Drosophila melanogaster: one gene and its partner. The gene in region 2 interacts genetically with the main gene of each other region. Each region holds a gene or a part of one and is shown on either strand. Other genes may lie near its edges.

Region 1 (7,997 bases), 7.5 Mb from region 2:
AATGATTGAAAATGTTATGGCTTACTTTAAAATTGGGTGCCAAACTTAAGGAAGGTCAACCCACCTAGCTTTCAACGTGCTAAACTGGTTTGATTGTATATAAACAAATGATCAGAGCAATAACGAGGTCATTCCTCCAATTCATCCAAATACACTGCAGTGTGATTTCCCGCTACAGTGTGGATGCGTGAATAAAACTGATTTCTCACCTTGGCAGCGCCCATTTCGATGTCTCCTTCGTGGCTGAGAACAAGCATGGTGATGTTTATGCACTGCTGTGCGACGACGGGTACCGGGAAGATCTCCAAGAGTGGCACACGGATAAGCAGGGGACACTTACAGCAGGTGAATTCCAGGCGCGATTTGTCCGTATTGGGACCCTTGTGAAAGTTAACCAGGTGGCCAAGCGGCTCGAGCAGACCGACGGTGGTGCTGTCGCCCTGCCAGGCGGGCCCAATGCCATTTGGCAGATAGAAGCGATTGCCTCTTTCGGCGGTCAGTTCCCAGTTGGGCTCACTCTCCAAACTATTTAGCTCATCGTCGTCGTCGAGATCCCGCGACTTGACGGTCTTAAAGTATCCGCCGGCATCCGACGGTGGGCCATTTCGCTTGGAGTATCTAGCCACCGGAATGATGGCCGTGTTGGTCACCTTGGTGCTCAGTAGGTCGTTCAGTCTGTTGGATCCGCGATGTACGGTATGTGAAATGGACAGGGATGGCGCCCAGATGGTACCCAATACGCGACTCAATGATCGAGACATTATTATATCATATGCTTCTGTAAATGCGTAGAATCTGCTGGCAATCAGTGCTATTTTGGATGCGAGATGCAATGCGACGACAATGGTGCTTACCTTGGATGGCGGAACTGGATTTGGAGTGCTGTGCTCTGCAGACGCTTTCAAATAATGCCGGATTTTATGTGGCTTTAGAATTTTACGTTGAATTTTGTTTTCAGATTAAATCTATTGCCTATTTGAAAGTAGAGACGACTAGTTTTTTTTGACGCACAGCTGCTACTGGATTCCTACGTCGTTCCGTTTTTCTGTTTTTCTAAACTAAAATTTTCAATATCGACAAACAGCTGATCCCATTCGATAGTATCGCCTATATTAGGGATGAGAAAAGTAATATGGTAAATAATTAATGTTATATATATTTCAAAACATTAAAGTAAATTTCGTTGTTGCTACTTGAGCTTAACTGTTCGTTAATTTCGCAGACAATATATATTAATAGAATTTTTGTTTTTTTTTGCTAAAAAATTGGTCTCCAAAATCAGCTGATAGACATCGATAAAGTTGGGAAAAGCTTGAGTTGCGCGCCAATTTCAAATACGAATTTCAAATCAAAATGATTATAAAATAAGTGGATTGGTCATCAGTGATATAATAAACATAGTAATTTTTTTAAAGTTATTTTTCCTACTTTCGTATTTTTAAGCAAATAAAACTGAATGCCATCTTCTGCTTTTGAAACATGTTTTGTATTTAATTGAATTACATAGATTGGAATTTACTATCGGTATTTCGCGTAGAACTAGGGACTTTTACTGGCACTGGCTGAGAGCGTGGGTGTAGAAGATCTTCTCCTCGACTCCTCGCTTGATCACGTGCGGAATCTTCTTGGGCACCATGCTGGAAATATATAAATACATAATATAGTTAGTTAACCAGTATATATATGATGCTGGTGACATTGAGGAACCCACGTGATGCAGTCGATGATGGGACAAACGGAGACGCAGAGTGTGCAGCCCGTGCAATCGTCGTTCACGTGCGGAATGTGGGTGTCCTTGTCGAATTCGATGGCCTGGTAGCCGGAATCGGCGCAGGTCATATAGCACTTTCCGCAGTTTATGCACATGTCCTGGAAAGCACGGATGCAATTAGAAATTTGGATACTTTAATGATAACTCAGCACTCACATCATCGATGAGCGCCACCTTCTGTTGTTTGTTATCCAGCTTGTTGTATGACCCGATCTTGTCTAGCGCTGCTCCGATCACATCCTTGATTCTTGGTGCCGGATTGGGTGCTCCATTGGACGCCGGAGGAGTGGCCTTCACCTGCTCGGCATCCCAAAGAGCTCCCTTCTGACTTCGCAGCTCGGCCATCTTGATGTCGCGCTGCCGCTGGTAGGGACCAAAGAAACCCAGCGTGGCTTTGCCCTCGCCGGTCAAACGGACAACGGGCTTGCCCTTCTGATGGACCGGCGTGGGTGGTGACTGGCCATCCCAGAAGGGACCATCGACTGGTGGCGGATTCGCCTTCAGGTAGAGCAGTGCCTTCAGTGCCGTGCAATAGTCCTCGATGACGGTGAAGTCCTGGTTCTGTACGGAGGAGCAGATCTGCAGAACAGTGGCGCCCGCATGAATAAACTGCAGCGCAACCTCACCGGAATCGATGCCACCGATACCGAGAATGGGGAATCCCGGCACACGGTTGGCAATATCAGAGATGGCCTTCAGAGCCATCGGACGAGTGGCATTGCCGGAGACGCCGCCGTAAGTGGTGCGCTGCTCCTTGCCAATCGCCGGCCAGGCGGTGGAGTCCGCCTTGAGGCCCATCAGTCCCTGAACGGTGTTGATGGCCGATCCGCCATCGGCTCCTCCCCGCTTTGCGGCCGCCGCAATGGAAACGATATCCGTAATGTTTGGCGTTAGCTTGATGAAGAAGGGCAGCTTGACCGCCTTTCGCACCCAGCGAGAGATCTGCTCCACCAACTCGGGATCCTGGCCACAGGCCAAGCCCATACCTCGCTCGCCCATGCCATGTGGACACGATAGATTCAGCTCGAGGGCATCGGCACCCGACTGCTCCGCCTTAATGGCCAACTCCGTCCAGTCTTCCTCGTTGAAGCTGCACATAATGCTGGCTATCACGATCTTCTCGGGGAAGTCACGCTTCAGTTCTCCAATCGATTTCAGCCAGTACTCGGCCCGCTTCTCCGAGATTAGTTCGATGTTCAGGAAACAGCCCTGCTGCGGTCCATACTTGTAGCCCGACGTGGTGCCCCTGACGATGCGCGGCGAGACATTCGTGACCAGATCCTTGTCCAGACCGAACGTCTTGGTCACCACAAAGCCCCAGCCCTGCTCGAAGGCGCGACGTATCATGGCCGTGCTGGTGGTGGGCGGTGCGGAGGCCAGGCCAAAGGGATTCTCGAACCGGATGCCGCACATCTCCACCGATATGTCCACGGCATCGATGTCCGTATAGAAGAGCGGCAGTGCAGCCGGCGTGTCCAGTGGCAGGCCCTGCAGTTGACAATGAATGCTCCAGGCGGCCACCTTGCCATCATTGACCGACTCCACCGTGGTGTTGGCCACTCCAGCGAGATCGCCGCCGAGGAACACCTGTTTCACACTGCTCTGCATCGTCACCCTGTCCACCACGGGCAATTCGCCGCGGAATTGCAACGGCGCTAGTGCCGCCTTGACATCCTGATCCTCCAGGCCGGACCCAAAGGCGGAGATCACAAAGTTCGCCTTCAAGCGCTGCGTCTGCTCCTCATCCTCCACCCATTCATCGTTTTCGTTCTGCTCCGTGCGACAGAATTCCATGGCTGTGATCAGGCCATCCTTGACGATCACTTTGCGTGGACTCAGGTACGGCAACAGCTCACAGCGTTCGTCACGCGCCAGCTCCACCTCTTCGGGCACAGCACGAATGCCGGAGGATCCTTTGCGGAAGACGACGAACACACGCCTAGCACCACATCTCAGCGCCGAAGTGGCGCAATCGAAGGCCGTATCACCGGCACCCAAAACGATGACATTGCCATGGAGCTTGGGTAAACCGGCCGCTGCCTTGCAGGCGCACAAACCCGGTTTCGAGCCATCCGACACCAAGGGCAGGAAGTTTTTCGAGGTGTAGAAACCATTGCTGGGCTGAAGGCCAGCGAAAATGGGATTCAGCTTCGGTTCCGGCAGGCCAATGCCCACAAAGACGGCATCATGGCCGGTGGACAGGAGTCCCTGGATGGTCAAATCCTTGGTGCCCAGCGAGCGACCCGTTTCGATGCGTACGCCCAGATCGCGAACCAAATCGATCTCAAAGTTAACCGCATCGATGGGCAGACGATACTGGGGAATTTCAGCGGCACTCAGGCCACCCAGATAGCTTCTCCGCTCGTAGATGGTCACATCCCGATAGCCCAGACGGGCCAGGAAGGTGGCGCACGACAGCGATGCCGGTCCGCCGCCCACGAGGGCGATCTTTTGCGACAGCGGATTGGCCTCCGCCTGCGGTGTCCTCCGCTGCCGCACGCCCATCTTCTTGAACACCTCGGTGGCGAACTGCTGGAGGCCACCAATGTTAATCGGTCCCGCCTCGGAGGCCTGCAGATTGCAACCGCCCACGCAGAGATCGCTGGTGGGACAGACCATGCCGCAGGTCAGACCCAGCGGATTGTCGGAGAAGATCGCCTTGGCGGCGCCATAGAAATTCTTATTCGCAATGCTCGTAATGAAGCTCTTGATGTCCAGCTGCGTGGGACAGGACTTTTGGCACGGAGCATCGGCGCATTTGAGGCACCTGGCCGCCTCCTCTAGAGCTCCGCGCTCCGACAATGTGGTGTGCTTGATGTCCGAGAAGTCGTTGGCCAGCGTGGTGCACGGCGGAGCAGCGTGATCCGCATTGCGTTTCCAGTGCTTCTTGTTCTCCTTCGTCTGCTTGGTGGGCACCACGGAGCACTGCGTCTTCACTCGCGGATTTAGCGACAGCAGGTCCTAGGAATTACGAAAGGTTTTCACTATCAACGGGAAGTGAATCATGATCCAGGACCTACCTCAATATCTGGGGAGTCCTTGCTCAAAAGTTGGGGCGGACTCATCTTGCTGGCACTGTTTCACCTGTTAATGAAGTGAAAGTGGAACATATGGATTACAGACTGCGGTTGATGGCCACGTGCAGATCGGCGAACTACCCTATCCCTATCGCATCGCAGCCAGAATACCCTAATCGCGAATGGTGACTCCCAGTCGTCTTATCGCTGCCCCACTCGAAATCCAAATCGATCCTGGACAAGACGCTGTATCTAAGTGCACTAATGCCACACCATTGGTCTTATCATCTTATGTATGAGGGCGTTATCATCATATCAGTCAAGGCTGCGACGGCTAGCGGAGATTATGATGGCTTTATGATGGCACGCATATTGGCACCACCCGGTTTTCTATACGTTTCTGTATCTGCTGTTTTTCCACCAAAAGTTTCAGAACCCCAAAAATAAATGGTGCCACCCCACGAAGAGGAAAGATTAGAAACCGGCGAAGGTTACGATCGGGGGGGCCCGTTTCGCTTCTTTTTTTTTTAGCGATAATGGGGCAAGCACTCGATTCGGAAGTTCTGCTTTCGATTTCATTTAAGTATCTAGTAGGTTAAGTATCTCAAGCTGGCGTAAATGTATCTATTAAATGTATCTCAGCTTAGAAGAAGTAATAAACTAACTTCGAAATACATATTCTATTTACAGTTGCTTTTCCTTTTAACTTTGAGAATTGCCACAAATATTATTATATTATTAAATATTATTATTATTATTATATTATGAACCAAATGCCAGAAACTTTGTAAAGTAATACGCATTTAATAAAAAAAAACTGTCACCGTTGCAAATCGACGGCGGAAGTTGTTTTGTATGCCTTTAGCTGTATCTTCTAAGCATGTGCTTAATACAAAGTAAACATTATTCATTATCTATTAGCACAGTGAATTAATAATGGTAAGTAAACCGACTGTTAGCTATTGCCTAATTATAAACGATAATAAAGTTGTTTTACATATTAACCATTCTCACATTACCAATTACTTGGCTTTTTGTGAATAGCCATAACTATTTTAATCACACAAACGTGGAGCTTTGCTTTACAAGACCTTCAATCGAATTCAATTCAATTAATATTTTGTAACACGCGCTATCTCCCTCGGCGCCGCGCGCCCTCTCGCTCTCGCGCACACTCTAGCGCGCTGATTAAGAATTTTTATAGATGTATTTTGTTTTTTTCGTTTTTGTCATAATAGTTGAAGCCCCCAGCTGCTGTTTGTTCATTATCAGTTTGGCTTCGTGGTCCGGCAAGTTTTTGAATATGTTTTCATTATACGTAGGTACATATGTATATGCTATATGCTAATGGCGAAATGCGAAAAACAAGTTCAGAATTCGAGCTGCTGCTTATGCTTAAATTGGGTTTCGTTTCGTTTGATTGTTAGATGTTTTTTTCAATTTTTTTTCTTTTTGCTCATTTAGCCAAGATTGGTGGCCGCAATACATACCGATCGAAGGAACGTTATTAGCTAATTTATGAACACTTTTTTTTATTAGAATCTTTAGATTAGCACAGCGAAAAAAAATAATAATAATAGCTATTCACTAGCTGGAGTGAAAATCGACTGGCGACGGTTTGGCGACTAAAAAAAAAAACACGAAAAATTCGAATTGGTCTTCACACTGGAAACGCCCAATTGAAAATGCTCTTGGAAACCGATTTCCAAATCGTCGTTAACTCGGTTTTGCGTCGCAGTCGGCGTCGCTGCCGACGTCGGTCTTCCCATTTCACAGGGGCGTAGCCTAGCTCCCAAATGGGGGGGGGGGGGGGGGTCTTTATCAGATTTTACACACAATAGCTTTAGAGTCGCAATGAGATAACAATATGAAGTTAAGTTGCTGGGCTAGTAAGTAATAGTATATCTTTATTATTTTCTCAAAACAATCCATATATATATATATAGTTCTCGTCTGGTATGTCTTTGCAAAAACATTGTTGTCTAGTTGTTAACGTTGTTGAACACTGAGAAAAACACGCAAATCATAACGAGATAAGATCTTATATATTTATTACATAAGATTATATATTATGAATTTAAAACTCAATCTCGTAAAAGTATCTAAGAGGTTTATTTTTTATCAAATTTTTTTATATTTTCCATTTGATTTTATCACTATCCCAATTTTATCTCTAAGATGGTATCTTTTCGAACTTTTCTTAGTGTAGATAAAGTATTTCAGGGTGTGCTATTCGATCGCCTTAGTTTTGTTTGTACACTCTTCGCTCTCAGTTTCGATTGAATCAACCTTACAATTTACTACAGTAAGTATTCAGTTGAGCGAACTTCTACAGAATTTCAAATAGATGCTTTAATAATTGCAATGGTACTAAAAATATAATAATATGAATATTATTTCTTCAGTTTTCTTAGTTCAGATAAAGATTATTTACTGAATGATTAGATGTTACATTTTGCAGAATGATAGAAGTTTGCAAATAAATATTAATTAGTTGAATATCAGGTAGTTTCACTTTGGAGATTTTGCTGTAGCACATTACATCAGTTCATTCATATAATCACAGCCCAAAAGAATGCTATTTTAGAGGATTTGTATTATATATATATCGTTATTCTTTCATAAAATTTTTGATAAATATACCAGCATATTTGTTAAAAGCTAAACATTTATAAGCTTCATTTGGATAATTTTTGAAATCAAATCAAATTGAAGTTCGCATTTTGGCAGTTTACCTTTTGGATTTATTTATCAACGCGGCTTTTACATAAACTTGGCCTAGAAGTATGCAATCGTTTAATTGAAATGCTCATTCTAAAGTGTTGTGTTTAACATAAAGAATACAAATAGCTTATTTTCTAAAATGTTGCAGACATTTTAGATTGCTAACTTATTATAAAATATATAATACGTTTCCGGTGCTCCTAGCATTTATTTTTGGCCATGAGCATTTGCTTTTCTTGATTTATCTGCCATTAAATTGTAATCATATTGGCCATAAAAACGCAGACATTCTGAGTGCCAAGTTCCAAGTTGGCACTGGCCCGTGACATTGGCCATCAACTTGGGATAATCTCTAGCTGAATGGCCAGATGAATGAGTTGTTTGCAGTAGCCTTTTCTAGTCGAAATCCCCGGAAAGGCGCCACTAACGCCTGCCAGCCTCCATTGGCTGCCCATTAAAGTGAAATAAATAACTCGGGACTACAG
Region 2 (6,647 bases):
TCCACATCGATCTCCTTGGCCTCGGTGAGGAACTTCGAAATGACAACCGGATGCTCGCGACTCACCTCGGAGGCGGCGTTCAGATATGTCTCCAGATCCTGATTGGAATAGGCCACATTCATGGCCGCACCGGAGAGCACATAGGATGGCCTAACCAGACAGGGATAGCCAACCTCCTCGCAAAATTCGATGGCCGACTGTAGGTTGGTCAGCTCCTTCCAGCGTGGCTGCAAGATACCCTTCCTGTCCAGCATGCGCGAGAATTTAAATCGATTTTCGGCACAGTCGATGGACTCCGGCGATGTGCCCAACACCTTCGCCTGCTGGCGATGCAGATCCATGGCTATATTGTTGGGCAGCTGGCCGCCCATGGACAGAATGATGCCCTCGCTATTCTCCATCTCGTAGATGTCCATGACCACCTCGAAGCTAATCTCCTCGAAATACAAGCGATCGCACATATCGTAGTCGGTGGAAACCGTTTCAGGATTGTAGTTAATCATGATGGTGGGTCGCTGTAGCTTCCTCAATTCGCGCAGGCAGCCCACGGCACACCAATCAAACTCCACTGAGGATCCGATACGATAGACGCCCGAGCCCACCACAATAGTGTGTCCGCCGGGGAAGTCCACATCGTGCTCGCTTCCGTTATATGTGTGGTACAGATAGTTGGTACTGGCGGGCCATTCGCCGGCCACCGTGTCGATCTGCTTGACATGCGGGCGGATGCCAAACTCCTGCCGCTGGTGACGAACAGCCAGCTCCGTGCTCTTAATGTACTTAGCTATCTGCTTGTCCGAAAAACCAAAACGCTTGGCCTTCAACAGCAGAGCGGCATCGGTTCGACTGCCATTACGGGTGAGCAGGGACTGCAGTAAGATGATCCTTTCCAGCTTTTCCAGAAACCAATAATCGATATTGGTTAGTTGATGCAGCTCCCTAAGGCTCATGCCCAATTGCAAAGCAGCGGCAATGACGAAGGGACGACGATCCGTCGGCTCCGAAAGCTGCTCGGCCAGCTGCTCCTTGTTAAGCGGAACCACATCCGGATCAAAGCCAAGCACATCGCTGTCCACCATGCGCAGGGCTTTTTGGAACGCTTCCTCGAAGTTGCGACCGATGGCCATCACCTCACCGACACTTTTCATCGAGCTGCCAATGTGCTTGCTAACCCGCACGAATTTGGCCAAATCCCAGCGTGGAATCTTGACCACACAGTAATCGAGGGATGGCTCAAAGCAGGCCGTCGTATTGCCCGTCACCGAGTTCTTGATATCTGGCAGGGGCAATCCCAAAGCCAACTTGGCGGCCACATAGGCCAGTGGATAGCCGGTGGCCTTGCTGGCCAACGCGGAGCTGCGCGACAGTCGGGCGTTCACCTCGATAATGTAGTACTGCTCCGAATGGGGACACAAGGCGTACTGAATGTTGCACTCGCCAACGACACCAAAGTGACGGATAACCTTCAGGGCGGTGCTGCGGAGCATTTGGTACTCGCGATCCGAGAGGGTCTGCGATGGGGCCACCACAATACTCTCGCCCGTGTGGATGCCCAGGGGATCGAAGTTCTCCATGTTGCATACGGTAATGCAGTTGTTGTAGGCATCGCGCACCACCTCGTACTCCACCTCCTTCCAACCCTTCAGGGATTTGTCCACAATTAGTTGGCTCGAGTGGGCCAGTGCCTGTTGGGCCAGGCTCTGCAGCTCCTCCTCGTTGTTGGCGAACCCGGAACCCAGTCCGCCCAGGGAGAAGGCAGCACGGGCCATCACCGGATAACCCAAGCGACTGGCCGCATCCAGTGCCTGGGCAACGGAGTACACAGCCTCAGATGGCGCCACCTGCTCGCCAATCTCGTTGACCCGCTCGGCAAAGAGCTTGCGATCCTCCGTCTCGATGATCGACTGGATGGGTGTGCCCAAAATGCGGACATTGTATTTGGAGAAAACTCCGGCTCGCTCCAGTTGCACGCCACAATTGAGAGCGGTCTGGCCGCCAAAGGTGAGCAGTACTCCGTTCGGACGCTCCGACTTAATCACCTGCTCAACATAGTGAGGTGTTAGGGGAAGGAAGTAGCACTTGTCGGCCATTCCCTTAGAGGTCTGAACGGTGGCTATGTTCGGATTGATGAGCACTGTTTGAATGTTTGATTCCCTCATGGCCTTGATGGCCTGCGATCCGGAGTAGTCAAACTCGCCAGCCTGACCAATGGACAGTCCACCGGATCCCAGGATTAGGACTTTGCGCGGCATCACTGGAGCCGAATCTATGGCAGGCGTAGTCGGACGCAGTCGCTGCTCGATCAGCTGCGGAATGGTCAAATCCTTCTGTTGAATGCTCTCCATAAAGACATCGAACAGGAACTCCGTGTCCTGCGGTCCAGCATGATGCTCCGGATGGAACTGAACCGAAAAGTAGGGCTTGCTGGCATGGACAATGCCCTCGTTGGTGCCGTCGTTGGCATTCACAAATAGCTCCGACCAGCCGTCGGGCAACTGCTCCAAATCGACCGCGTATCCGTGATTCTGCGACGTCATCAGGCAACGTCCAGTTGCTCGGTGCAGGCAGGGCAGATTGTGTCCTCGATTGCCGTACTTCATTTTGTAAGTAGAGCAGCCGATTGCCTTCGCTAACAGCTGGTGACCCAGACATATTCCAAAGACGGGCTTTTGACCCTCCTCAATCACTTTTCTCACCTAGAAACAAAAGATTAGTTAAATTAGCATTATATTCTATCCAAATGATTCAATTGTGACCCACCTGTTGGACGATCTGGTCGCAGCTCTCCGGATTACCAGGTCCGTTAGACAGAAAGAGGGCGTCGAACTGCTCATCCTCGAGACGAGCGCTCCAGGGGAGCAAGGTCACCGAGGCGCCACGTTGCAGCAGGCAGCGCAACTGGTTGAGCTTCAGTCCACAGTCCAGAATGGCGATCCGTGGTCCCTTGCCATTGGGATTACCGTACACTTGTCGCTCCTTAACGCTGCACTCCTTGGCCAAATTCCTGACGTTCGGATCTACGAAACTGGACTTGGGCAGCCCTTCGACCGGCGGTTTCTCGTAGACAATCTTGCCTAGCATGCTTCCCTGCTCCCTCAGTTTTTTGGTCAGGGCTCGAGTATCAATGTCTTGAATTCCGGGCACCTTGTGCTGCTTCAGCCAATCGGGCAGCGTCTTCCATTTGCGCCAGTGAAATGCCTCTTCAGCCACCTCGCCCACCACCAAGGCGGTGGCCTGGACGACGCCTTTCATCCACTCGAAGTGCAGCGGCAGTCCGTGCTCGTCCTCATCCGGCGCTGGTACCCCATAGTTACCGATCAGTGGATAGGTAAGCACCAGGATCTGACCACTGTACGATCGATCCGTGAGCGCCTCCGTGTAGCCAACCATGCCCGTTTGGAAGACCACCTCGCCACCAAAACCCACTTTGGATTCATTCTCCGAGGGAACGTAGCCAAAGGAGTACCCGGGCAACACTGTGCCATCCTCCAGTGCGAGGTAACAGTCCGTAGAGGCCATATTGGACGAGTTGCTGGGGAGGATTGGAAACCATAGGGTATTCTTTAGTACCTGTCACTCGAAAACCGTCTTAAATAAACGAGCAAAGTTAATTAATTAAAAGATCATATCTCTACGAAGGCAAGTAGACACAATATTGAGTCGAAAATCTGATAACAATATTCGGCGACTCTGGGAACTTTACTTAATGAGTATATGCTATGACTATGCTATATGTTTACGCAGAGCGCGTGCATACCCTCGATTTTAAATGTAATGTAATATAATTCCACAGGTTATCTTGTTCAAAAAACACATGTGTTTATAAACACACCGTCACACGCACACAGTTTGCCGGCCCAAGAAAATATACAAAGAATCCAATAGGAAGCCGCGATAGATGAATGTATGCATGTATTTAACTGTCTGGCAACATGTTGAGCGGGGCACAACACGGTTCTGATTGGGAATGGACACTGCTTATCAAGCGTTTCAAGTTCCTGTTGTCATTTGATATTGCCATTCACGGTTTGTTTACACGATGACTAGCGGCGGAGAAGAAAGAGGAAGAGCGAGTGTGAGAGGGTGCGTTTTGTGTGTGCGTAAGCACGTGTGAGAAGTTTGGATCCAATTGGAAACCGGTTCGGTCAGCAAATGAGAATAACAATAACATTGACTTTAACTTTGAATTGGACTTTGGGCAGGAATTGAGGATTAACCAACTGAGAATCCTTAAGCTACGATGCATTAGTATCGCCATCAAGTTATCCTTTTCCCATCTGCACCCGTTACAACTACAGCTCACTTACGATTCCGTGTACTTTCAAGCGAAGCTCTCTCTTTGCTGCACTTGTAGTTGTGAACACGTTTTGGTTTCGACTTTAATTCGATTGACAACTTGATTTGTTTACTTTGCGACACCGCTTTTAGAGCTGGTTAACTTCGCACTGCTCGGATATGTTTAGTTTGAGCATTTAACTGTGTTTGCTTGCAAATTGGCTCCAATTAACGTCTGGAAAATCAAAGTCGAACAACTGAATTCACCGCCTTGGTTGAATCGGAATCTTCGTGCATTATGTGCTAAAAAATGCCACAGCAAGAGCTTAGCTCGGCGGTGTGGAACTTTACTAGAAGTAATATTGCAGGTTGGGAACTTGGCAAGAACGTTATATATTCATTTATTGTTATGAATAAGATAAGATATTTGTAATAATATTAGCAAACATGTTTAAATGGGGTGTTCTGCAAAGTATTCCAAAGGAAATAAATAATCCACAATTAAATGGTTAGTCACAAATTTGAAATCACAACAGTGTAGTCACACACACACCTATCGATACATTTTTCTTACGTTACGATATACTGCCCGTCCCGTCGTGAGTGAGGACATAAACCAAAGCGGCGTTGCTTTTTCATTCGATTCCTTAAAGTAAAGTAAACATCAAAACATCAAGCATAAGCAAGTCAGCATTTAACAAGCGAACGTCCTGCGAGAGCAACAGACTGAAAGCGCACTGATTGATAAGATTAACGCCATTGCAACCGTTCATAATGCATTCGGCTGGACTACTGATGCTAACCGTGGCTGGATATTTCACATCGGGTATTCCTGGCAATACGGCTTCCTCGGACGTCGCCTACCTGACGCCGGGCACATACATCAATTTGTCGGAGAACATCTTGGGACTGCAGACTCTGCGCACGTTCTGCTATCCGGGTAAACGGCTGACGGTGTCAAGTCTCTTCGAGACTGTGGAGTTCGTCCTGGCCATCGGGAGCGATGATTATTCCCAGTACGGTGGGAAGACGCCGGAGGAGGTGTTGCAGCACTACAAGGACAAGCAATCGCTGTTCAGCATCACCCTGTTCGCGCAGAAGCGCCAGCTGCTGCAGCTCTCGCCCTTCGAGCAGCAGTGCATCGGGATTTCCTCCCGCCAGGCGTACACCGTCATTCTGAATAGCATTCCGCTGGATCTGTGGCGTCTCGCACAGTTCGCCGTCGGCATACTGATCCTCTTCAGCGCCCGGCGGCTAGCAAAGAACAGTGTGTTCTACTATCTGGTCGGCATTGTCATCGGCATATGCGCCTCCCTGCTGGTGGTCATCTATTTGGCCGCCAAACTCTTTCCGCGACGTACCATGATGTATGGCGTCCTAATTGGCGGCTGGACCATTGGCTTCTATGTGATCAAACAGCTGGCGGACAATCTGCGTTTGATTCTGATCACCTACCGCGACCATGTGCTGGGCTATCTGGTGATCACCGGACTGATCTCGTTCCTGGTGCGTAGTCACTTGATATTCCCTTTTGATTAGATAACCCCAGCTAATTGCCTCGATTATTCTACAGATCTGCTATCGCATTGGTCCGCCCAAGAATCCTCGATCGCAAACCATCGTCATGTGGGTGCTGCAGGCCATTGGCGCCGTTATGGCTTACTTCAGCAGCTGGCACACCAGCGCCGTGATCTTCATCATGGTGCTGGTCTTTGTGGCCCACTACTTCCCCATTTCGTGGACGAACCAGATCAAGTTCATGTATCGCCGCCGTTTTCCGCTAAAGAGGCGCATGCTCACCCAGGAGGAGTACGAACAGCAGACGGCCGTGGAGACCTCGAAATCGCTGGCGGACCTGCGCAAGTACGTCAACAGTCCGGAGTGCAAGCAGTGGGCGGTGATGGGCAAACTGCGTGATCCTTTGCGCTTCGCCTCGTTCGCCAATGGAGCACCGCATCTGGACGACGAAGAGATCGAGGACCACTCGCGCACCATCGAGGAGTCCATGGATGCGGCGCCCGAGGAGGAATCAGTGGAGGAACCTGAGGAGGATAAACCAGCGGAGTTACTGCCGCTGCCCAACTCGCAGTTCCGCTATCAACAGGCCGCCCGCAACTCGGAGCCGGAGCCGGAGTCGGAGTCCGATGACAGCGAGGAGGAGGAGTTCTTCGAGCAGGAGGTGGACCTTCGGCAAGTAGTACAATAACGGACGAACAGCTCAACCACAAGGGGAACCACTGATTAGGCTTAATTGAAACCATTGACCACCACGTTCTATGCTGTACCGTTCTGTAAAATTTGTTTGTTTGGTTACCCTTTCTAATATTTGTATAATCACTTGCAGACTGAACGGAAACACACATATTAATACA

The links. A genetic interaction does not mean that the proteins touch.
Region 1: of r (region 2) and su(r), changing one suppresses a phenotype caused by changing the other (phenotypic suppression), as found in Drosophila melanogaster (one study listed by BioGRID).

What each region holds. Positions count from the first base shown.
Region 1 is NC_004354.4:9,195,342-9,203,338, forward strand, and holds su(r) (suppressor of rudimentary), read right to left. Parts: upstream 6,480-7,997; 5' UTR 6,279-6,479; intron 4,856-6,278; 5' UTR 4,837-4,855; coding exon 4,792-4,836; intron 4,733-4,791; coding exon 1,928-4,732; intron 1,870-1,927; coding exon 1,712-1,869; intron 1,638-1,711; coding exon 1,550-1,637; 3' UTR 1,467-1,549; downstream 1-1,466. Other genes in the region: CG12118 (uncharacterized protein), read right to left, coding at 210-761.
Region 2 is NC_004354.4:16,653,270-16,659,916, reverse strand, and holds the start of r (rudimentary), read right to left. Parts: upstream 4,559-6,647; 5' UTR 4,308-4,558; intron 3,827-4,307; exon of another isoform or gene 3,758-3,826; intron 3,533-3,757; 5' UTR 3,520-3,532; coding exon 2,761-3,519; intron 2,697-2,760; coding exon 1-2,696. Other genes in the region: Nemp (nuclear envelope integral membrane protein), read left to right, coding at 5,050-5,781, 5,849-6,481. UniProt on the Drosophila melanogaster protein: Multifunctional protein that encodes the first 3 enzymatic activities of the de novo pyrimidine pathway: carbamoylphosphate synthetase (CPSase; EC 6.3.5.5), aspartate transcarbamylase (ATCase; EC 2.1.3.2) and dihydroorotase (DHOase; EC 3.5.2.3).